2 linked regions of the Lepisosteus oculatus genome follow. The protein of the gene in region 1 binds, or shares a complex with, the protein of each later gene. Links are inferred from orthologs where the notes say so. Each region holds a gene or a part of one and is shown on either strand. Other genes may lie near its edges.

Region 1 (11,747 bases):
AGGAGCTCTTTGTCAAGAATAATCACACTGGTTTTGATCTTTGCTGTTACAGCTGCTGCTGAAAGTTGGCTTCCTGTATCTGACGTGAATCCACTGCATTATGAAATTAACAGAGCACTGATTTCATCCAAGTATGAAATTTAGGGGCTCTGGTATAAACACTAAAGACCTGTATGAGGGCTTATTTATGTTGTTTTTGTGAAAGTTGAACTGTCTTGAGAAAAACCTGAAGCTGAAGACATGCTAGCTTAGAATTCAAGTAAAACGACTTCACCCATGCCCTGAAGATTTTAGTTTCTATCGTACGTAACAAGGCTCAGTGCACTGAAAGAGTCCCATGAAATCTAGACAGTGTAGAGTTCTCCAGCTGTAGGTGAGATGCTGGTCTAGCATAGAGGAGTTATCTGCTGATAACTGATTGTCCATTGTATGTGACTCAAGCAGGCGAAAGCGAACGGAGATCCGGTCATCACTCTTACACCACAGAAAAGCCTAACTGTCAACATTTTAAAAATTGGGTTTAAACTTTCACGGTTAACCCTGAACCTAAATATCAGTGTCCCCACCTTTTCAATATTTACAGACGCAGGGCAATACAGCACAATATTTGGTAAATGCGATAAAAAAATGACACACACACACATGTACATTGCTGCAAATTGTTAATATAACTGTTTCCAGACAGTCTTACACTGTCCAAGTACAAGTTCCTAAGACAAGTACTTGTTTTATGTGGGTGCTTGGCCTAATCCAGTAGCAGTTCATCATTTTGGGGAGAACACTATACAGCACACAGAAATGCAAATATCCAAAACACTTGATTTGCAGGCGCTGTTACTTGGCGATGTGAAGATCATACATCAGAATTTGCTCTCCATGACACACTTATGGAAGTATCTGGTAGCATCGACGTCATGGTTTTCTTTTTGGTGAAGCGTGCTGCACTGTATCATGAGATCTACTGTATCTTGCATCGCCGCACAAGTGCATGAAGACGGCAATGATGCTGTGTCAGACCCAGTGCGTACTCGGTGCAAAGTGGGTTGCTGGCATATCTTGCAATGCTTGAGCCGTAAGGCGGGAGCACTAGGACCTTTGCTTTATTACAAGTTACCCCCTGATTATTCCCAGAGAAGTGCACATTGTCTCCTCCTGCCCTTTTCACTTGCCTGCAGTACGGAGTCGGAGACGCCCCAGTGAAAGTCGCAGGGGAACTGGCCCTGGACAGCCTCGTCCCCCTCCCTTCCAGGGAAGCCCCCGTCTTTGATGACCTGTTTGTAGAAAGCAGCTGATGTCTTGGGGATTCTTGCTTTGTCTTTGCTGTTGGGGTCCACGTAGAACAGCCCTCTCCTGACTGAATAGCCGTAATTCCACTCAAAACCATCCACCAGAGACCACAAGGTATAACCCAGGACTTGCACACCATCGTGTAGCATTGCTGAAAGATAAAGACAAAGCCGAAACATGAAGCTTGGCGTTCTTCTCTGTAAGGTTGTTAAAGGCTCACCTCTCCCTGATAAAGTGAAGTGCACATCAAGTACCTGTACATCTGACAATAATGCAGTTATAATAAGTCTAACTTTTATTAAATACCTGTGCTTTCCTAAAATACTCTATCAGTTTCTGGAAGAGTTGAAACAGCAACACAATCCTTCACACAGATTATGGTTCTGAAACTTACACAAAAAATGAATTGTGGAAACGATATTACCGACCAAGTCATGAACAGCAGCACCCAGCAGGACCCTACACCTAATACTCACCCTGCAGAACTTGGTTTATGAACTTTTTCATCACGTAGATGGCCACAGTGTCTTCCGTAGTCACGCTGGTGTCTGAGAACCACCCATTCTCCAGAATGAGAATTCTGGGATTGTTGTATTGAAGTTTAATCCAGTTCAGCACCTGTCTCAGGCTCAGTGACACGTGTTGGCCAAACCTCACTGAACTGTGTACTAGCCTTAGGCTGTTGGGCCCAAACGAAAAAGCGAAGAAGTCTGCAGTCCCCTTAATGTTGTCCTTCTCTTCTGCAGTGAAGGCAGGGAGGAGGCCATGTGTGCTGTTTTTCAGGAGGGTCGGGTAGTCCCCTTGTCCGTATATGGGCTCTGCAAACCAGCCCAGAACAGCCTCCATAGACTCCTGGCATTTTTCCACGTTGAATGGGCTGGCTTTCCCTCCCTCCGGCTCTATCCAGTGAGATCCCAGAGCTATGGACACCTGTCCGTGCTGGAGTTTTCGAAATCTCCTGTCGTACGTGTGCCACGCTTTTGCATGGGCCTAAGACGAAACAGGCAATCAAAAGAGCAAGAAGAAGCATCAGTGTTTCAATCGTCAAGGATTGAGTTTTTTTTTAAATAGCCTTTTAAGGAAAAAGAACACATTTTTGTTCAATTTGAGGGTCATCACAAATAGAAATTATTTATTATTCAGAAGCATTAGCGATCCACTCAAGTGGAATTTCATTACACAACACAGGGTCACAGGTGAGATTCTTTAACAGAAAATGTTCTAATAAAAGGCTACTAGAAAAACCTTTCAAGCCCTCTGCTGTACACCTGACTTTTCCAGAAACTCGGGGCTCAGCAAGGGGTCCCCGTGCTGTCAATCATGACCTACCCTGTCATCGCAGTTTTCAAAACTAACGCTAGATGGCAGCTTTTTATTTTGCTAGAGGCTGCTTCCTGCGTAACGGAAACCTGTCAGAGCCTGGGTTTGTAATCACGAGTCAACTCTTACAGAAATATAGTATCATATCAGCGCTTTTCATTTTCCCCCCTGTGAAATCAGAATTGTCATTCATCAGTATCTTTTCATCGTGCCCAAAAATGATATATTTTTCTTACTCGAAATCTATTATATATCTCAAGTAATTTAAGACTGTCATAATTCCCGGACTTTAATTCCTGTTTTTAAATCTCATTTCTTCACTTACGTGTCATTTAAGTGGTGTGCCTTTTCTGGTGTGGGCATAGTACAACACGAGAAAGCAGTAAAAGAGTCACTGCAAAATGGCAGTTGAAAGAATTGGAAGTAATTGTTGCTGGTTATGTATTAAGTAAAGATTTTGATAGGTACTCAAACTCTAAACAGGCTGCTTTGGAAAATCTGAACAATGTTTAATATAACCATGTTTTTGAGGCACATGACAACAGCAGGTTATTCCTTGCAGGTTATATTTATATATAAAATACAGGAAATTAGTTTTTAGGATTATTCTGAGACTCCTAATTCTGTCTTTGTCAGGGTGAGAAAATGAAGCCAGCAGTGTGGGCTGATGTTGTTTCATTCAGACACGCGGCAAGTTTTAAATGAGTTTTGTTTTAGCACGAGCTTTAAAAACTACAGTGATCTGTGTTTGTCAAGCTATCACTATTATACAAGATGAAGTTGGGCTGTTGCTGCAAAATGCAGGAAACAGGGGAATTGAGGTTTAAAGAACAATTCTAAAAACAAATGGAAAAGAACTGAACTCTTCAGAATCCTCCCCTATGGATTTCATTACCTCTCGGTGTCTGAACCAAAAGACCAAAGTCCTGACTATCATGATAAATAAATCATAGGCGCTGGAGAAGTGTATGCTATGCTGTCTGTGCATTCCCTTCCCCATTCTCCACTGAGCCTTAAATAAATAATCATTATGACTGACCCGTAGAGCAGACTATGCAGTGCACATAACAAAAAGGCAACCGCAGCAGCTTCACTTGAGAAACAAAGTCAGGCTTTGTGTGAGAGCGACTGGGTCCTTGAATGAATGATGCCAGGCTGCAGATAGATCAGGCACGGAAAAAAAAAACCCATTACGTCTTATCAGCCGCGCTACCTCACCTTGATTAGATTGTGAGCCACAGCAAAGACAGCTGTGAGGTTCCCTCTCTCTCCGGGGGCATGCACGCCTGTCCCATAGCCGTGCCAGGCCACCGCGTAGGGGTTGTGCATTGTCACCCAGTACTTGACGCGATCCCCGAAGCTCTGGAAGCAGAAGGCGGCATAGCTCTCGAAGTCATCCACCAGGGCGTCGCTGTGCCACCCGCTGTGGCGCTGCTGGAGTGCCAGGGGCAGGTCCCAGTGGTAGAGGGTGACCACGGGCTCGATGCCCTCCTGCTTCAGCCGGTCAATCAGCAGATTGTAGTGCTCCACCCCCGGCAGGTTGGGGGCCCCGCCGGTCCCGTTGGGGAACAGCCGGGGCCACGAAATGGAGAAACTGTAGGTCCGCACCCCTAGGTGCTTCAGCAGCTCCACGTCCTGCTCCCACAGCCTGTAGCTGTCGCTGGAGGTGCCAGACCCCGGAGCCTGCTGGGAGCGAGTGAAGTGATCCCAAATGGAGGGGCCCTTGCCGTCCTGGTCCCAGGCTCCCTCGCTCGGAAAAGCGGCGCTCCCGGCTCCCCAGAGGAAGTCCTGGGGGAACGTGCCGTGCAGGAACAGCTGGCTGGCGTCCACGGGGGTTGAGCTGGACTGCGCTCTCCACACGGCTCGTCCATCTCCTGGCAGGCAGACCACGGCCCCCCGGCTACACAGGAGCAGCACAAACAGGCTTTTTAAAGCAAGGGGACCCATCCTGTGCTCCCCTGGGACTCAGATCCAGCCCAAACCGAGGGAGACGAGCATGACGGCTGGAGCAGAGGACAGGGAAAGCACACGAGAGCTCAGCCAAGCTGAGCTGGGGCCATCTGAAGACCTGAGCTGCTGGACTGCCTTATCGTGCCAGTGGGAAAAAAAAACACAACAATCTTCTGTTGCAAGTTGGACCTCTGTCAATGATTAGCCTGAACTGTGATCCCAAGGATGAGTTAGGAGGGAGAAGTGTGCTCCGGGAAGGCAGCTCGGCGGCTCCTAGCACGCTCTGCCCTGGGAGACTGCTCAGACACACACACACTTGCAGCACAACGGAATAAAGACACACAGGCTGAGCAGGCAGAGCACTGTATGTGCACACACGGTGCACAGAGACTGCATGCCATCTGAGAGACCCCCTTCACTGCAGGTGTTGAGCAAATATCGGCGTTCACTGGAGACTGGCAAGAAGCAGCCAGTGAAAATGACAGGATTTAAAAAAACAATTTGGAGTGGAAGAGCAGCAAGCTTGGACCACCACTGGAAGGGTCTCACCTTCTTTTCTGTGCAAATACTTCTTGCACAGAGGATGTCATCTTTTGGGTAATGTCAAATGACTGGTTTAACATAAATGTTTAAACCACGTGACAAGCCAATCATTTACCTCATCAGCTATGAACAGATATTACATTGTCCTACAAAAGCAATATTGTTTTGCTAAGACCACATTGCTTTATCCAATGTGGATGTGGATATAATACAATATATTGGTAGGTGGTAATTTTACCATATATACATAATAAGTCAATTGTAAATATTTTGCCTTCTTCTCACATTGTACCAAAACATTCAAAAACTGATTATTTGTTGTCAATTGTTTTTTTAACTCTTTACAGATTTTTCAGGGACACTGAATCAATCTCTCACTCAGATTAGAAACAGATACAATTTATTTTTCGAGTGATGAGCTACAAATACAGTATTTCTCCTGGGAATATATTTAAATGTTCTGTACTAATTTCATGGGCCATACTGTGTGAATTCAGACTTTGTCTAAGCCTAGGGGATATTTGATCATTTTTCTTTCATCGCCCTTTCAGGGCTATGTGAAAAGAATTAAAGGGATATTTGGAAAAAAATCTCGTCTGGCTCTTTCTTCTTCCAGAAGATAGATTAAATGTGACTTGCAGGAGAGGGCATCGTAAATTTCAGATGAAACAGGACTCATTTAAACTCATTGACAGTGTCCAGACCCTCCTAATTAGAGCTCACATTTGATTTCAGTGTTTTGCCATCAGTTATTTCTTTAATTGAAGTTTCATTTGCTGTTTATGCTGGCAAGAGCAGATAATGAAATATGACAATTTAAAAATTCAAATTAAAACTCTGTGTAAACAATTACAGACTACAGACAATAAAACTACTATTTTATAATACTAAAATGTGTGATGTACAGTATATATGTAAAACTATATAAAAATATTTCCACTGTGTACCATTCTGAAAGTACTATTACTGCCAATAATTATTCCTTACACTTATATGTACACTTTTCTAGAAACTCCACTCAAAGTGTATTACAGGTAATGGAGACTCCCCTCCACTACCACCAATAAGGAGCCCCAGCTGGATGATGCGACAGCAGCCACAGTGCACCAGTACGCTCCCCACACACCAGTTCTCAGTGGGGAGGAGAACAGAGCGATGAACACAGTTTATTAATGGGGATTATTAGGAGGCCATGACTGGTAAAGGCCAGGGGGAAATTTGGCCAGGACTGGGAGAATATAATTAGAGACCTAAACAGGATATGATCAAAATAGATTCTAGCGGAAAGGTACAACTTGTTAGAGTTCTTTGAACAAGCAACAACACTAATGGATATGTCAGCACACTGTTTGGTATATTTAGATTTTTGGAGGGCTTTTGATGAATTTCCTCCTGCCAGATTAATACTCAAATTGCAGGTGTCAGACATTCAATGAACTGTGTGTACCTGGATTGTGAGCTGGCTAATAGACAGAAAACTGGGTACTGATAAGGGGTGAATACTCAAATTGGTGTTATTTGTTAATTTATTAATTATTAATTATATGCCCACTGGGATTTGTATAATGATTACTGCTCCTCCAAACACCTCTAACTATTATGGAAAACTAGTCGAGTTTGCAAAATTAGAGTCTCCTACAACATGATGGTATTAAGCGTGAAATTGGATACAGCATTGGTTAATAGAAAATTGAGAGCACAGATGAGCTGTGCAGCAAAAGCTACATTTCGGGAGATATAGGTGTCTGTTCTTCCTAAATCATTTAAATGAACTAATCAAGTTTGAAAATGATACCAGATCGGCATAGTACATGGAAAGGAACTTAAAAAAATGCACCGCAGCTGGATGAACATAGGTCAAAGGGCATTCAATACTGGCACGCCAAAAATGTTGCAGTATATTGACAGCTATATACTAATATCAGGAGAACTGAAAAGACCATTGGCCATGTCTAAAACTACAATAACACAAACGCTGTTGTGCACATGGCAATAGGGTGCATGTCCAGCACGCGCGCTGCACCTGTCCGTCTGCGGCGCGCTCCTCCGCAGCTTCAGGGCCGCACTGCGCAGGCACCCTCGGCCCGCCTCGCGCTGACAGCGGCCGCGGCTTGCGTCATTTCTCAGCGACCTGGGAGGAATGCACTTGGCGCCAAGCTGGAAGAGCACTGGAGGTGCACACTGGCTTTAAACATTCAAGAAATCGTATATAATATACGATGGTGAGTATAACTTGCGGCGTTCGTGGCTTTGCAAGCACTGTTACAGCTGCAAGTTTCGAAATGTGCCATTTCGCTTACAGAGAAGTACGTTTGACTTGGAAGTAGCTCTGGCTTAAACCGAGATTTAAATTAAAGTGGTGGGGTAGTACTTTATTCACACCTTTTGCAAAAATGCCTTATTTTTGCAAGCATCTAACACACACATTTTTTCTTAGAGTTGGCACTTAACATGAATGCGTAGTTCTCATGCACTAAAAGAGGTGTGCGCTTGCAGAAACAGAGACTAATCGCATTAAGACGTTCGAGAAACGTGCTCAATGTAATACTGTTTTTCTGAACGCATACGGATTCGCAAAGTACATTTCGATTTAGAATGTACATTGCGCTTACTAAAAATATCGTGCGCTGCAGATCTGCGATCTGTCGTTTGACTGGAACGATGTTTTGATTCGGTAGAGTTATCACAGCTGTGACGAATTTATAATTCAATAATTGCTTTCAAAATCAATTCTGTTAAATGCTGCACGTTTCAAAACCCCTTAGCTGGAAAACTGAGAGATACGGGAGAGTCAATTACCAAAGCTCTGGGTACGCGGGAGGGGAAATTGCAGATGTGCACATATGTTCTTCCTGTCCACATGTCAAAGACGAGTGAACTGCAGGGGCTGATTGTAACAGTTAAGTAATTGGGGGTTGTGTAGAAGACTGTAGCCTTCCGGGACCCGTGTTGGACATCCCTAGTTTTCACATATGCAGATCCTTTTGGGTTCAACCTTACAGTAGCTGCATCCACATGAATCCCGTGGCTGTTTCTCACCTCATTACAGGATGCTCATAAAGCATTTGTATTGAGAGAACTTGTTGAGTATTTCCTAATGTAAAACAGATCAAATACAAATTTCCCTATCGTGTACAGATCTTTTTTTTAAAAAAAACCAACATTGTCCCACTCTCGCATTCAGCCAGGTTGGAAAGTCCAGCTCTCATGACGGGGGACCAACTGACACGTTATTTTGGTTCGGAGTGCTAACCTTGCGTGGCCGTGTGTATCGTTTGCAGGACATAAGAAAGTATTTCCAGTCTCAGTTGCAAAACCAAGCTGGGGAGAAGGAGAGGCTGACAAAGAACAGGTCCTCCAAAGCTGAGGGTGATGTGAAGGTGAAAAAGTCTGGATCCAAGGTCAGTGCTTGACAGGAAACTGATAGAGAGAGCGGTCACCTGTCTGGGCCAGCGTGTCCCAGAGGTCTTCGTGTATGTCCGCAAGGCATGGCACGCAGGCCTGGATTCAATGAAAGAGCTCTGGACTCGCCCACAGGTCGCTGCAGCCAGGCCCGGTTCTGAATCATGATTCTGTTGGGGGGTGTTTGGCATTTACCCCACATAAATCAAACAGCAAATCTGGGGTAGGGAAATTGGGCTTGGAGGGTGGGTCCCAGCTGCGTTCTAGTCTGGGTCCCGTCTAGTCCAGATTGTAATGTGGACAACAATAACATCTTGGTGTTGGCAAGTCCTTAAAGGGGAACTTCAACACTGTTTTTATAGTTCCGTGGTTCAAAAGAATCACTTGGGTGAGTGCATTTCCAACCACAGTAAAAGTAGTTTGCAAAAATTTTGTTACACCACAATATAGATGAAATTTCCAAGTATCCACGGCGCTGAGTCCTGCGATTCAGAATGAGACAACAAAACTTCCGGTGACGTGATGCAGCTTTTTACATTGTAAACAAACAGGCTTTTGAATCCAATTTTAATCCAGTAGAAATATTGCTCTCGATTTTGTGACGGTTTTGCTGACAAATGCTACTTATTTGTTAGCTCTGCACGCAGATGACATTGGAACATTTCTGAGGTGAAATAGCTGCGGTACAACCTGTACTTATTTGCTCATACATCGCACTACATTAGTCATTATAGTGACTAGTGAGCAGGAAGGGCAACATCACGTCTCAATTAGTGGGAACTCGAATGCGAGTTTGTGACAACATTGAGACTTAGTGCTTTCTAGAAAGTTCACAATTGTATGCTTAATTTGGAATTTGTAAATCTTTTTATAAAGTCAATGCATTTATTTTGTTACTGAGATCTAATAACCAGTATGAGAAATTGGGAGTGCAGTTCCCCTTTCAGCACGAAATACGTGTTAAAACACAATAACAGGCACTGAATGGTGCAAATCAGCGTTGAGAAACTACTTGAGCAAGCTTACAAACCAGGGGTCACCATTCTAGCCTGTATAGAAAGTGACAGGTTCCGAAATCTGCATGGTTGTCTCAAAGATGTTTTTGTTTTGTTTTTTAGCAGTTCCTATAGATCCTTTCATTGATCTCAGGTGAAAATTGACAGTGTTCATTTTAAAGGGAAATTGTCCCCATCCATTGGGATGGACCTCATCTTTAAGGGAACGCATCACTTCTGTTACAAAACAGTTTGACAGGTTTCAACAGCTGTAGGTCACTACTAAAGCCAGAAAGCAGTGTGTTTCATTAGTAGTATTGCAGTACTGGGTGTACAAATGTACTGTATAAGGTAAATTAAATTAATAAACCTGAACATCTCAGCATCTGTGGATGTTGGGATTCTTGATGATCATGCAGTTCATCAACCAGAAATGGGTCAGACTGCAGTGCATTGAGAACCTTATCTGTTTCCTCATCTGCATCTGTGTTGTGTGTTTCAGGGGAAGAGTCCCAAAAGTGATGATAAGTCATCGGTAAAGCGAAGGAAACGTAACATCATCAACTCAGGTGTGTCCGCTTGAAGTCCCCTCCTGACATGGCAGACGGATGGCTCTGATGATGGCCCACACTCTGGTCTCGCACATTTCCTCTATTAATGGCAGAATTGAATTTCTGTGATGTGGGTCAGCTGGAGTTTAGGCCTTCAGGCCAGCGTGCTGATACTTATTGTTTCTTGGAAAAGCTGATGAACGCCCTCTGAGTGGGTGTCAGATTGGAAGCAAAAGATCATAATGTTTCCTGGGCAAAATTGCTTTTTTTATCACTTTCTTCCACCATCGTAGTCTTCATGACTTTCAAATATGAGTACAAATGGGTTGACAAGCTGTGTTGTTCTGTTGCCTGGCCAGCATAATAGTAGGCAATAACGTGGCCCCCTTACATATAGCCTGAAGCTCTAGAGAGATGGTCCTTGGGGTGAAATCCCTGGATTTTAGAAGCACTAAAAGTAAATGGCTTGATAAGCACCTTCTCTGTTGACGAGTTTTGTATGAATGATATAAACAAGTGTCACGTAGAGGCATTGGTAATTCAATTCAGTGAGTGTTGAGAGAATGGTTCGAAACAGTGCTCACTTTTGCAGTTGAAACTGAAGCAAAAGAGAGATGCTTTCTCTATCGCTGACATTTCTCAATATTGTTGCAGATAAAAAAGACAGCTGCATTTTCATTTTTACGCATTATTCAGGATTGCACATCACAATGTGCCATTATTCATGAGTAAGTTATGTTAAGAAAATATTAATTATTTATCAAGGGCCAAAAGATCTTAAATGCAGTGTGCTTATCCTGTTTTTCTGCTAAGAACAACTGCTGCTGATCGCTGCAAACAAGTACTAAATACTGAGGGTTTATGCATAGATTACACCACAACAAGGCACTCATTCATTCATCTGATACCTGCTCGTAATATACTAAAACATAATCTGTATTTATGGAAAAAATAGACATAAAATGATTTTTCTTGTAATATATATTTTGCATGTAGAAGGTATTGAAATGTAGGACTATGTTATTTAGCCACTTCCTAACTTAACTTGCACTGCAAATTGTAGCATTGCGATGAATTAAATAATAATGTTAAAAATATGTGAGTATGCCAGTAAGGAAGTACTGGTGATCCCTACGTAATATTCCATGGGATTCAGCTCTAGGGCGAGCTTAGTAAGTGATCTATCTGGAGACCGAAACTGCCAGAAAATAATTCACAACCTTTGGAAGGGCTGCTTCAGCTCTGTATCTTTATCTAAACTAGAAACGTGACTAAAAACCTTCATAGAGCTTAATAGATGCAGTCGAGCTGACCCTGCCTCATACATACTTTTTGCATGTAAAGGCAAATTGAGAATATTGTGGTAGTGATGTTCTTGAAGGTCTAGGCCTGATTCTGTTTGACACAGATGTCAGAGCAGGAGAGCTTGCATCTGCTGGTACACGACAAGAGTTAAGGGACTCATTGGTGAGGTTAGAAATAGATAAAGAACACAGCAGCTAGGTCCGGACAGGGGCATAGGACTAGTGTTCGAAATGCAGTCAGTAAGTCCCATTTTACTCCCATCTCAGTCACATATGTATCACACGCAGCAGTGACACTGAGAGAAGCCTAAACCTGTGACAGCAGGAGTGGGTGTTGTTGTCATGACTGCTGTGTGTCATCTTGTGCAGGAATTGCAAGTGTGCCACAGTTTGAG
Region 2 (10,983 bases), on another chromosome or scaffold:
GCAGACTAAAGCGAGGTTGTGAAGTATTACTTTACTGAAAATTCATGTCGGCTGTTTGATTTTTTTGGGGGGGGGGCATTTCCATTCATTCCTTCTTCAATTAGACGTTGCAAAAATCCTCAGCTTGTGCGCTTCAACAGCATGAACCCCAAAAGGGATTGTGTCAATCATTTAAAAAGCAAGACAGTATTCTAATGAATATCCAAATCTATTTTATATAGCAAGATTTATTTTTACTACCGCAAAGCCAAACCTCCAGTTTGATCAAGTGAGTTTGTTCACTTTCACTGGCCTTATGTCAGGAATTGTCGTGCGGTTTTCTCTTATGTCGTGAGAGGGCGCCATTGGATTTTCAATGAAGGTTATATGTACTGTAGCACAAAACGAATTACCAAGGGAGAGGGATTTTGTTGCAGAACATACATGACGGATTACAAAAATCTCCATGCACAAACATTATATTTAATGGGCCAGTCTATAAACGTGATGTGAGTTGACTTGGGGGGGAATGGGATTTTACCGATGAAAGCCGATACTAAGAAAACAGACCGTCATTAATCCTATAGGAACTATGAGGAACAAAGTGTCCTTTGGCAAATGCTCTGGTATCGGTTTACGCTTGTTAGCTGTTCCTGTAACCTAAGACAGAAGCAGCCTGTTGGAGTATTTGTAACTATATTGTTATTTCTAAAAACAAACGTCTAGTAGCAGCAGAAAAAAACTTAAGGGCATAGCTGACACGTAAAAAAGTGTTTTTTATTTCAAGATACCATGCATTTATAGTACAGAGAATATTGAATTAACCACAGCTGATCATTTTGATCATCTCCTTTCAAGTCGCATAGCAGATTACACGGTAATTGCTAAAAAGTAAAACAATAAGTTAACAAATTAATTCAGAGCTCTGTATCTTAGTACCTTGATTCAGTTGATGTGATCCTTTCAGAAAATCCTCTACTTATTCTCCTATAAATCTTATTCAAACTTTAATGGTTTCTGAGCAGAACTGTCTTGGAGCTAAAACTGATAAAAACAGAAAAGTTTAAATAGTTAAAGCTGCAAGAATCTTACACTTTTGTGTAAGACTACTTTACAAAGAAAGTTAATCCAAAAGCATTTTAATGTAAAAGACAAATGAATTATGTAGTGATCAAATAACTTCACGGCTTCTTTTTTGGCTCAGAGGAAATGATAGAAGTGCATTTAAAATGGAGAACAGGAAGCACCTTTTTTACACGGTTTGTAGTAAACTTTTAGATACCCACCCATGTTCAAGAAATTGTCCCTGGCTTTTTTCAATAAATGGCTGGATGAGATCCTTATCAATTAACTTCTACAAGCCAAACTAGATGTATTCAATGGACTCATTTTGAGTCCTTTCTTATGGTTGTTCAATGAACTTTTAATGGTTAGGGTTATAATTAGCTTTGGCGTTTCTCCAGATCAGTGACCCTTCTGTAAAAATAGAAATGTAATAGTTTCCACATGCATACAAAACAATTTTAAAAAATTATAAAAATGCAAAATGTATGTTCTCTATATTGTAGTAGACATCGGTGCACTGGAAGTGTATCTTTTGTTCATAAATACAACAAACACTGAAATTTTAAATAAGTTAAATTAAAAAAAGCACAAATAAGTGCTCAATACCAGTTGCCTTGCTGCTTTTCCTTAGAATAACACCATTTTATGTTCATCTAAGTCCCTGGAAATAAGGAGTGGCACAGTAAGCGCTCAAAGCGCAGACATGCATATTGTTCTGGAAAACAGTTCTCGGTTCCCTCTTGTGGCAAAGTATCTTCTAAATGCATGTCTTCAAGATCACTGCAGGATTTTTGCCTTTGTAAACAAGTCATTTATCTTAGTCTTTAAAAATGGCAAGCAAATAGCAAATAGTCTTTAGCTGAAGGTCAGTCCATTTTCCTCCAGAAGCATATTCTGGAATTCAATCGTGCCTCTTTTTCTGGTTTTCCTGGTCACAAAAGATGTTTAGCGTTTATGGAAACTGGGACTCTGCATGTAGATTGTCGATGCACTCCCAAAAGGGTTCATGCTGTCCGTTTCAGTTAATCCTTGCTCAAGACCAGTGGACTCCCCAAAGCCTTCCATGTCAATGCCCACTGGCTCTGTAGGAATGGTACTAACCATTGGTAGGAACTGAGACAAGGGAGGAAATCCTCCATCTTCTGCTTGGAGTCTTTGCTTGGCACTGCTTAAGCTCACCACGGTCTTGTGCTTTTCAGAAATGTATATGTTATATCCATCTGGGAGGACGCGTTCAATGAAGGAACAATCCTCTTTTAAGTACGTGTGCTTTTGAGAGAAACAAAGATATGAGAGTAAAAATGTACAAGATGAATATTATGAATCATTGTTTAAGACTCGCTCAATATTACATAAATGTTCTTCATGCAATCGGCCTATTTGAGCCCAGACCTATCCGATGTAATGCAAATTCAAATACTGGCTAAAGTAACCCATAAAGTTCTGTTTTGTGCTTATCAGTAATTGAAATGCAGAAAATTAAGCTTTGGGTTTGAGAGAGCTGCTCACATTTTACCTGAGTTCCCCCCCATAAGAATATTTCAAAGCCTAAAAAGGCACTCATTTACCAGGGTTACTATTGCGGTTTCTTTTGTTTGTGAAGTAAAACCTTTGCATGTCCCACAGTTGGTCAAAGGTTATTCAGCTACAGAGGGCAAATTGCTTTTTTTCCAGCCATCCCCTTAATTTAGCACACACTCAAATTTCATACAATGTATAGTATCAATAACCGGCGTTCTGTTAAAATTTGCCCTTGTTTGAAGGTTTGTGGAAATACTGAATATCCGAGATAAGGATATTTTAAATGTCATACGCATGGAATGTAGAGTATCAAGTAACAGGTTTATTCCATGCTGAAAAGAGAAGAAAGAAAACACAACATTTTAGCTGTGGAGCCTTCTTCGGGTGTGAGCAGAAGGCTCCACAGCCGAAACGTTGTCTTCTTACTTCGCTTTTCAGCATGGAATAAACCTATTACTTCTTCCTTTTGCAGCCTACGCATGACGCAGCTCCCCACCTGAATTAATGTAGAGTATGCCAGCATACTTACAGCATTCCATATACTGGAATGGACTTCAGGGGTTATTTGTGTGAACAAAGCCGAATAATTGTATACAACTGTTAACCAATCCATTTTCAGAAAGATCATTTAAACAATGAGGTAGGTATATTTAAGCTATAAAGAATTTGTGCATAAGTGGAAGAATGCAGTGCTCCATGCACTTAAAAAAAATGTACATTCCAGTACAAAAGAAGTTCCTTCAGTTTCCTGTTAGAAATATTGGGAATGACTCCTTTAAGTGCACTAAGATGGCTTATAATTGGATTGTGTTTTAGGTACTGTTTATTGCACATTCTTAAGATTATTTACGTAAAATCTGTTTTCAGAGACAATAACCTGTTATTTTTGGCTTCAGCTGGGAGAGGAACAAACTTTTGGTCAACAGGTGAAATGGTCAAACTGGTCTAGCATTGAGATAAAACCTAATTTCCTACATAATTTACTTTTCTATTCGTGCCAATACATAGAAATATTTTAATTTTTAACTGAAGAAGCTCTTTCCAAAGAGCTTTAATATGACTTTATTATTCAAATGTGAAGCGAGAAGCAAACGTCAAATGCGAGTAAAATCGCCTTACAAGGAGCTGTCATTCTTAATGCAAGATGACTCGAATGATAAAGGTTGGCGTTTTTCCAAAATGGCTAATCTATCGACAAAGCATCTTCAACTGTGTATCAGTATACATGATATTCAAAATGATTTAAGTTTAAATGTATGTAGATAAGGCTATGGAAATAGAACATTTACATGTATTATCTTTTAAAAAGTTTAAAACCTGGCTTATTCTCTAGTTGTGCAAAATCGCTTCTATATGGCTTTAAAGTATGTGATAATTGCATTTTGGTAAATCCAAGTAACTTACCGATCCGTACAGTTTCCCACTGTCTTCCATGCAGAGATACCTTGAGGACGTAACTCCTTTAATCACCACAAATCCCGTATCAACAGCTCGTATTTCTACTAGACCTAGAACAAAAGAAAAGGTGCATTTAGTTTCCGTTTTCTGCGTTTCTTAATTATTATGCAAACTGCAGTTTGTTTAGGATCCACGTAAACTGGAAACTTTAAAGACCTGACTCATTCAAAGCATTCTTCTACAATGAAAACGGCATGATGCATTTTAGTAATCAGGTATCCCTTTAACCTAATATACCTTCGTATTTTAATCTAAAAATACATACTGTACGCATTCCTTCACGCGCCAGTAGTATGCAACCCTGCATGACCATAAATCATTGTGGTTGAGCTCAGGTGTTACGCGCTACTGTTGATTTAAACATCTCCCAATTCTCTTATTTCCCCACTTTGTCACCTCTAAGCCGAAAGAGCTGAATTTTTACAAGATATTTACCCCGCCCCCCTTGGGGCTTAAATGACAAATTCCCTGTCAGGGTCGACTAAATTCCGACATTAAGAAAAGCGTACGTGTTGCATTTTTGGCATCTGGTCCGAGGTAAAAATGAAATAACTCGGTTCAAACAGGCAATTTTAAAGTGTGTGTGTATATATATACTGTGTATATATATGGTTAGTTATGTATGACTTTTAGACGGGCGTACGAGTACTGCACATCCGAAATGTTGCCGTTGACCATTCAAATACACGCATTAGAAAACGGTCTTATAATTGCAAGGTTTTCTTGTGCACCTTTGATCTAATATCAGTTGTACACCTCGAGTAACTCGGCTACCACTACTACATACGGCCGAAAACTTGAGCACGGTTCCCAAAAAATATCTACTTACTCTTTGAGTTTTGAGAAATGGTCCCGTCCACTCGTCCGTCCTCGTTTATTTGCAAATGATAACTGAGCGGCCCGTATCTACTAGCGGTGTACAAATGTCTGAGTCTCACGGGATCTCCCCATCCGTTAATATAGTGTGGGCCCGAATCGGGCAGAGGTAAACCGTGTCCTATAACAAAAAATAAAAGGTTTGTCAAGGAAACGGCGATGCAGACACTGTGCAACATACTGAAGGTTTCCTTGGAATGTAAAACGAAGCCAAGCCAAACCGACGCGGTCTTTAGAGGTCAAATAAGTGATCCGTCGTCCCCTCAGGCTGAGATGTAGTATATAGAGACGAGCCAGATATCCTGCCTTTTTAAAGGTACTCCTTATCAGTCCAATCGATAAGCTTATTCTAGCGCCGTTATTTAAACGGCAAAACAATCATTCTACGGAAACCAAGTGTATTAAAGGTTTAAGACGTATATCGTAGGCTAAAAAAAGAACTATTAAGAGTAGTGTACAAGATAATACTTCGCGATTTTTAGATTCCTGATTGCGAAATGGCTGATTTTAATTTTATTCATATTGGTATGACTTGGTTTGCATAAATATCGCGTGTGGTTGATTAAATCTTATTTGCAGTATCTTGTGGAAGAAAATGAAAAGGTAGTATGTAAAAAGATAACCAGAGGTTCTCTTGACGTTTTGATATTGCACAATCTACGTTTTGGTTTTATTATAGAAAAAAAAATGTGATTTGAATGATTTACGTAGTTCAGAATATAGCCTTTGCTTAAGCGGGTGATCTAACTGGATAAACTTTCTTATGAATTAAAAGCCGCGCCAAACTCTTGCTGAGCAATTGTATGAATTGTTACACCCAACATTTGATAATTATATTAACAAGTTCAATAGTTATGCTCTCACCATTCATCCAAATCAGTCAGATAAATTTACTAAAAGAACATGAAGATTTTGATCTCAAGACTAAAGAGACTGTTACAATTGCCATCTTAAAAAATACAATATAGCGGGGTGACCGTTACTACAAATTGAGTTTGCAACATCAAAGCATTCAGCTAGTTTGTCACATCGAATCCATCTTCACCACATTGTATCAAGTATAGTCTCATAACGTAATGATAAGCAGCCTGTGTAGCTGCTGAAATTAACGAGGTGGCAAATGATATATTGTCGTTAATGTGGTTTCCTAGGAGGAAATACTCGGAGGAATTCGTGTCACCAGATGGCACTGTTCGCCAAAAAATAGTTGGAAATGTATAGGAAAGACCTAAATTTCACGAGGAAACTTTTTTTTTTCCAATGCATAAACCTTTTACAGCGGGCAACACGAAAGATTAAAGAACTTTACTAGCTACTTGCGGAGTGCATTAAATTCAAAAGCTTACGTTTTCTTCTAGACCCGATTTGACCCCCTTAAACTTGACAACTGAAATGCAGGCGTAGTTTAGTACATTGACGGATGTTCGCACAGAACATACAGTACGGTCTTAAACACATACCATATTAAGCGTACATGACATGCTAGAAATATGAATCATGCATTGAACAAAAAACAAATTGCATAACACTGTAAGTGTAAGGAATAAATATAAATATGCAGCACGTTGATTTTTTTGTATTTCTCATAATAAATTTTTAATTTATTGCCTTTCTTGAATTTGAAGATCTACGGGATATGTAGATGAATGTACTTATGATAATGTTTTTGTCACAACTTGTATGCTAATAAGACGAGAAATAACTGATCAAGGTCATGCTACAGGTAGGATTGTGTAACATTCATGTTTTGTTGACATCACTCTTCATTGAAGATTGCTGCCCATATACATCTTAGATCATTATAAATCCGTTACAGGTGTGGTTCAATATGTCTTATCTGCATAGTAATTAATTCACTTAATAAATATTATTACAATACAAAGCAACTAGACAATATGCGTTAGGTAGTTGATTATTTTCCATTCCCCCTAGTTTGCTGCCTAAGACCCGTTATGTGGTTGTTTGTGGTAAGGCTCTCGTATGGGGTCAAGAAAGGTCTCTGTAGCAATCAGTCGTCCACTAATGGAAATAAACTAACCTGACAAGGCAGAAAAAATGTTGAAGGCTTGTAACACTGGTCAGACATCAAATGCACACAGAAGACAATACACCCACAAGGATTCCAATTAGATAAAGCATTTTAAATATCAGTCTTTTAAAAGGTACCCATGGGAACAGAAAACCAACACTGACTGACATTCGCTGACGGACATTTCAACTCTGTTACCATAGTCGCAAGAGGTAAATGGCAAATAAGTGTTTTAAGGTCATGAAATACAATGAGGTTTTTTTTGTTGGTGGTGGTGGTGACATTTTTCATTTGATTCTCTCCAGCCCCCTCGCAAAGTAAAATGAACTTGCTTTTCTAGCCATTCATATTTTAATGTCGAAGAAGCATTTTACAAATGAACTCCAAAATGAATCAGCAGTTGCTCTTCATTGTCGTCACCCGAAAAATAGCCTCCTGGACCGGGGACTCCAAATTCTTTCCCACGCACTGCGGGCATGTTATTTACTGTTGCTGTGTTTCTTGTAAAAACAAAAAAAAAATCACACGTTTTACTAAGGCCGTCTTAGTTTTTTCACATTTGTTTAAATCTCAGTGTTAAGAAGGCATCCTGTGCAACATACAAATAAAGATTGAGATCTCCAATGGACGTGTAATTAATATCTAAATTAAAGGCTGGGATCCAGAACAAACCTCGCTTGAACTGCCACCCACAATACCACAGGCCCACTCGGGAGTTATCAGCCTGAAGCAAATGCAAAAGCCACTATTAGTTAGGCAATTTGTGATTGTTTGGAATGTGCTTTTTTTTCATCCTGGGTCTTTTCTTTTAGTATCAAGAAGATTGCTCAAGATATGTAAAAGGTTTAAAATATGGCGGGTTGCCAGTGAGTGGATCCATGCCTATTCAGTTATGAAGTATACACACCCTTTGAGGGCTGAGGCCTGTTATTCTTTGATGTTAATGGCAAGTAAAGGCTAGGCCCAGCCTGTAGCATTGGCTCTCAGACCTGGTCAGGGAGACTCTGGTGCACTGTTTTTGAATCACCTGTTTGCTTAAAGCAACATAGTGACAAAAAAGTGACATTAGCCTATTTTTGTATTGGCTTTTAGTTCCATTGGTTTTGTGATGGGTATAATGTCCTTATTACTGAGTTTCCGAGCTGCCCTAAATCAGGCATTTTGGATTAAATGTGACCAGTTGGACTTGAATGGAAGGAACAACATTCTCTCTCTGTGGGAGCGTCTGATACAGCACGATTCCCACCTTTCTGTTCATCGGCGTATAGCCTTTGGCCGTCTATTAAGAACGGTTTAGTCTAAAATAAATAAGCAAATTCTTAATAGCCAAGTTGAAGAGACTGCATGAGGTTCTATGTGCCGAAGTTATTGGAAATATAATTTTGAAACCAAGGCTTAAGTCTAGATCAAGGAAACAAGTGTGCAGATCAGTTACAGGCACCAATTAGCACCAGTGATTAAGGGTCCAGTTGTAACTAAAAGCAGCAGAGACGAGGGGTCCCACAGGACGAGGATTGAAAACCAATGGCCGCTGGTATTATGCTGATCATTAAATCCATTATCCTCTTGGAAGAGATCTTTATTTAAAGAAATAAGTAGTACCCCAGCACGTGGTGGGTGGGCAATTGCTTTTGGATTATAAAGATGACCTCTGTACAGAAAGGGCAAATGTGCTTCTTATCAGCACATCTTTATGCTGCATGAACTGTTTTCTAGAAAACACAAAAAATGCTGCACATTTTGGAGGTCTTAACAAAACTGTAAAATAATGCAAAGGTCCTATGTTACACACAGAGACCCTGAATAGATTTGAGTGCAGTAGGTTCACGTTTGCTTGTACTGCAGGTGTCATAGGTGCAGATAACACTAGACATTTGTGTTTAGGCAGGCATTACATTTGTTTCTGTATCCAGAACAGCAAGTACTATTTTTTCCCATTTGCAGCAAGTTTGAAATTGGATATAAAAGAAATGGGGATTTGTGCTTAATTCTGATGGTTTGCAGAATTGGGATGAGTTGCCTGTATACATTTCTATGACTTGTTTGATTTAAGCATACACACGAGTTATACAACTCCTGTAAAATGAGGAAAGTGATTATTGGCCAGCTGATATCAAGGAACCCTTTGTAGAGTTGCCTGTGTTACTGAATACTTTGATGTCAGGTATGAAGTCTAATTTCCCTTAACTTCTGGTGTAAATGAAGTTTAATCACAGGACATTTTGTAATAATGACCCACTGTAATAAATGTTTCATATCTTTGTGCATTACTGAATAAAATAGTTTTAAAAGATTGTCACTGAGTCAGTATTTTAAAATTTGCCACAGTGATCTCACATTGCCATGAATGACTCTTTGTGTTCTCCAGTTTGTCCAAAATCTTCTAGGAAGTGGTTCAACTGATTTCATATTGACCTCTGTGGTAACAATATTGTGGTCATCTTGATCTCACAATAATGTATAATTTTGTTCTTTTGTAAGGGTTGAGAGCCCAGAAGCATTCTTAACAAGTGACCCTATTCCTCCTACTGCAACATGTGTAATGGCTGCATTCAGCCACCCTTTAGAGCTGGTCTGTTATGCCTTCTCTGTGAAATTTCACTTTGTATAGATTTATTGTATACTCAACATTGTTCTTGCCTTATTAGTGGGAGGGAAGCTTATGTAATACACTCTTACAGCTCATTTGCCTGTGTAAGGTAAGGGTGACAGTTTCTGGATAGGAGCAGCTTAATTATGAAATAATCAGGAAGATATTCAGCTCCTCCCCCTATCAGTTTCTGTGTTTTAAAAAGTTGAAATGTTCGACAGGAATAGGGTAAGAGAAAAATGCTGTTTAATTCTCAGTCCTAATTTTGTCTCATTAATATCATGCATTCCTGAACAGATAGCCATCTCATATTGGACATTGTGCTACTAGCACTGATGATGAAGTTGCCTTTTGAAACATAATAAAAGCTCTATTCATCACTATTTTCCTAGGAAAGCTTTACAGTAGGGGGATATACTGCTATTCCAATATACACAGTTTTCTTTGGACTTTATGGGCACTGACAATAGTATTGACATACTTCGTTTTTACTAATTCATTTAGTTCGTTATTAAACTAAGGAACAAGTAGATGTTATTTTGCTTTTTGTGCATGTGATTTATATCAAATTATGCTTGTCAATGATATATTTTTGACATTTGTGAATACAGGAGGGTTGGTGTGATAAGAATATACAGACATCAATATTATGTCCTATAAATCTTGAAAAATATTAAGCTTAAAATTTCAAATATTACTTAATCAGAGGATTGTTGATACTTTTCCCTGCAATGTTATGAGTATGATGCAAGCCATAGTTCTTTTTAATTTGTTTGCTTCATTGCACATGAATTAATAACTTACAAAATTACCGAAGTCTGTGTAGTATACATTTTCCGGTGAAGAATCTGTTCAAACTGTGATCTTGTTACCCCCTTTGCGGAATGACCAATTTCATTTGCTTCCAAAAGATTTCCCTTGCCAAAATAAACTTCCACAGGTGTTGCAATCTGGAGTGCTTTTTTATCTGGGGTGTTTTAAGCACACATGTAGGATGGTGAAATCAAACTAGAAAAATGAGAAAGCAAAGTCTAACTTTAATAATCTGTGTATTTTATTTGGCATTGGTGGTGTTTACCATTTAGTAAAGGTGATGTAGTTATAAAGAGGAAAATGCGCTGTGTGGCGAAGGTAATAAAAAAGGACTTAGACCCCCTCCCCAAGTCACACACAAGGCAAGGTACATTTGCTAGATTTCCTAGAAAGAGAAGAACACTGACCTGCAGTATACTTTTAACAAAGGGACTATATTAGTACACCTTCAGAGAAGCAGTTTGAACTCCCCTCCCCTCCCCCCTCCCATCCTGTCCTGTCTATTTTGTTTGCTTCTGGACTTCTGGTGAAATGCATGTTGTGGTACGGATTGTATTTACTCTTAAAGTACACTTTAGAGTTCCTTCTGGGATTCCAAATGTGAATTGAAGGGAACCATCTTGGTTTCCCATTTGCCGATGGAAATGGAATC

Evidence for each region.
Region 2: the proteins of klb (region 1) and fgf19 are in contact, whole or in part, in a crystal structure (PDB 6NFJ), measured with the Homo sapiens proteins. The link is inferred for Lepisosteus oculatus from reciprocal best matches to the Homo sapiens genes KLB and FGF19. Residues at the interface, in NP_783864.1 of Homo sapiens: Phe379, Lys380, Val392, Leu394, Trp419, Phe420, Thr421, Asp422, Val425, Thr431, Tyr434, Met435, Asn438, Tyr643, Glu693, Arg696, His743, Asn824, Phe826, Met832, Gln848, Phe849, Leu850, Gln851, Ile853, Leu862, Phe931, Phe942; in NP_005108.1 of Homo sapiens: Leu192, Thr194, Asp195, Ser196, Met197, Pro199, Phe200, Leu202, Val203, Thr204, Ser211, Pro212, Ser213.

What each region holds. Positions count from the first base shown.
Region 1 is NC_090696.1:68,395,701-68,407,447, forward strand, and holds the start of klb (beta-klotho), read right to left. Parts: upstream 4,763-11,747; 5' UTR 4,555-4,762; coding exon 3,826-4,554; intron 2,278-3,825; coding exon 1,764-2,277; intron 1,439-1,763; coding exon 1,170-1,438; intron 1-1,169. Other genes in the region: rfc1 (replication factor C subunit 1), read left to right, coding at 7,320-7,322, 8,382-8,501, 10,000-10,066.
Region 2 is NC_090716.1:5,539,260-5,550,242, forward strand, and holds fgf19 (fibroblast growth factor 19), read right to left. Parts: upstream 5,155-10,983; 5' UTR 5,079-5,154; coding exon 4,853-5,078; intron 4,074-4,852; coding exon 3,970-4,073; intron 2,314-3,969; coding exon 1,990-2,313; 3' UTR 750-1,989; downstream 1-749. UniProt on the Homo sapiens protein: Involved in the suppression of bile acid biosynthesis through down-regulation of CYP7A1 expression, following positive regulation of the JNK and ERK1/2 cascades. Stimulates glucose uptake in adipocytes. Activity requires the presence of KLB and FGFR4.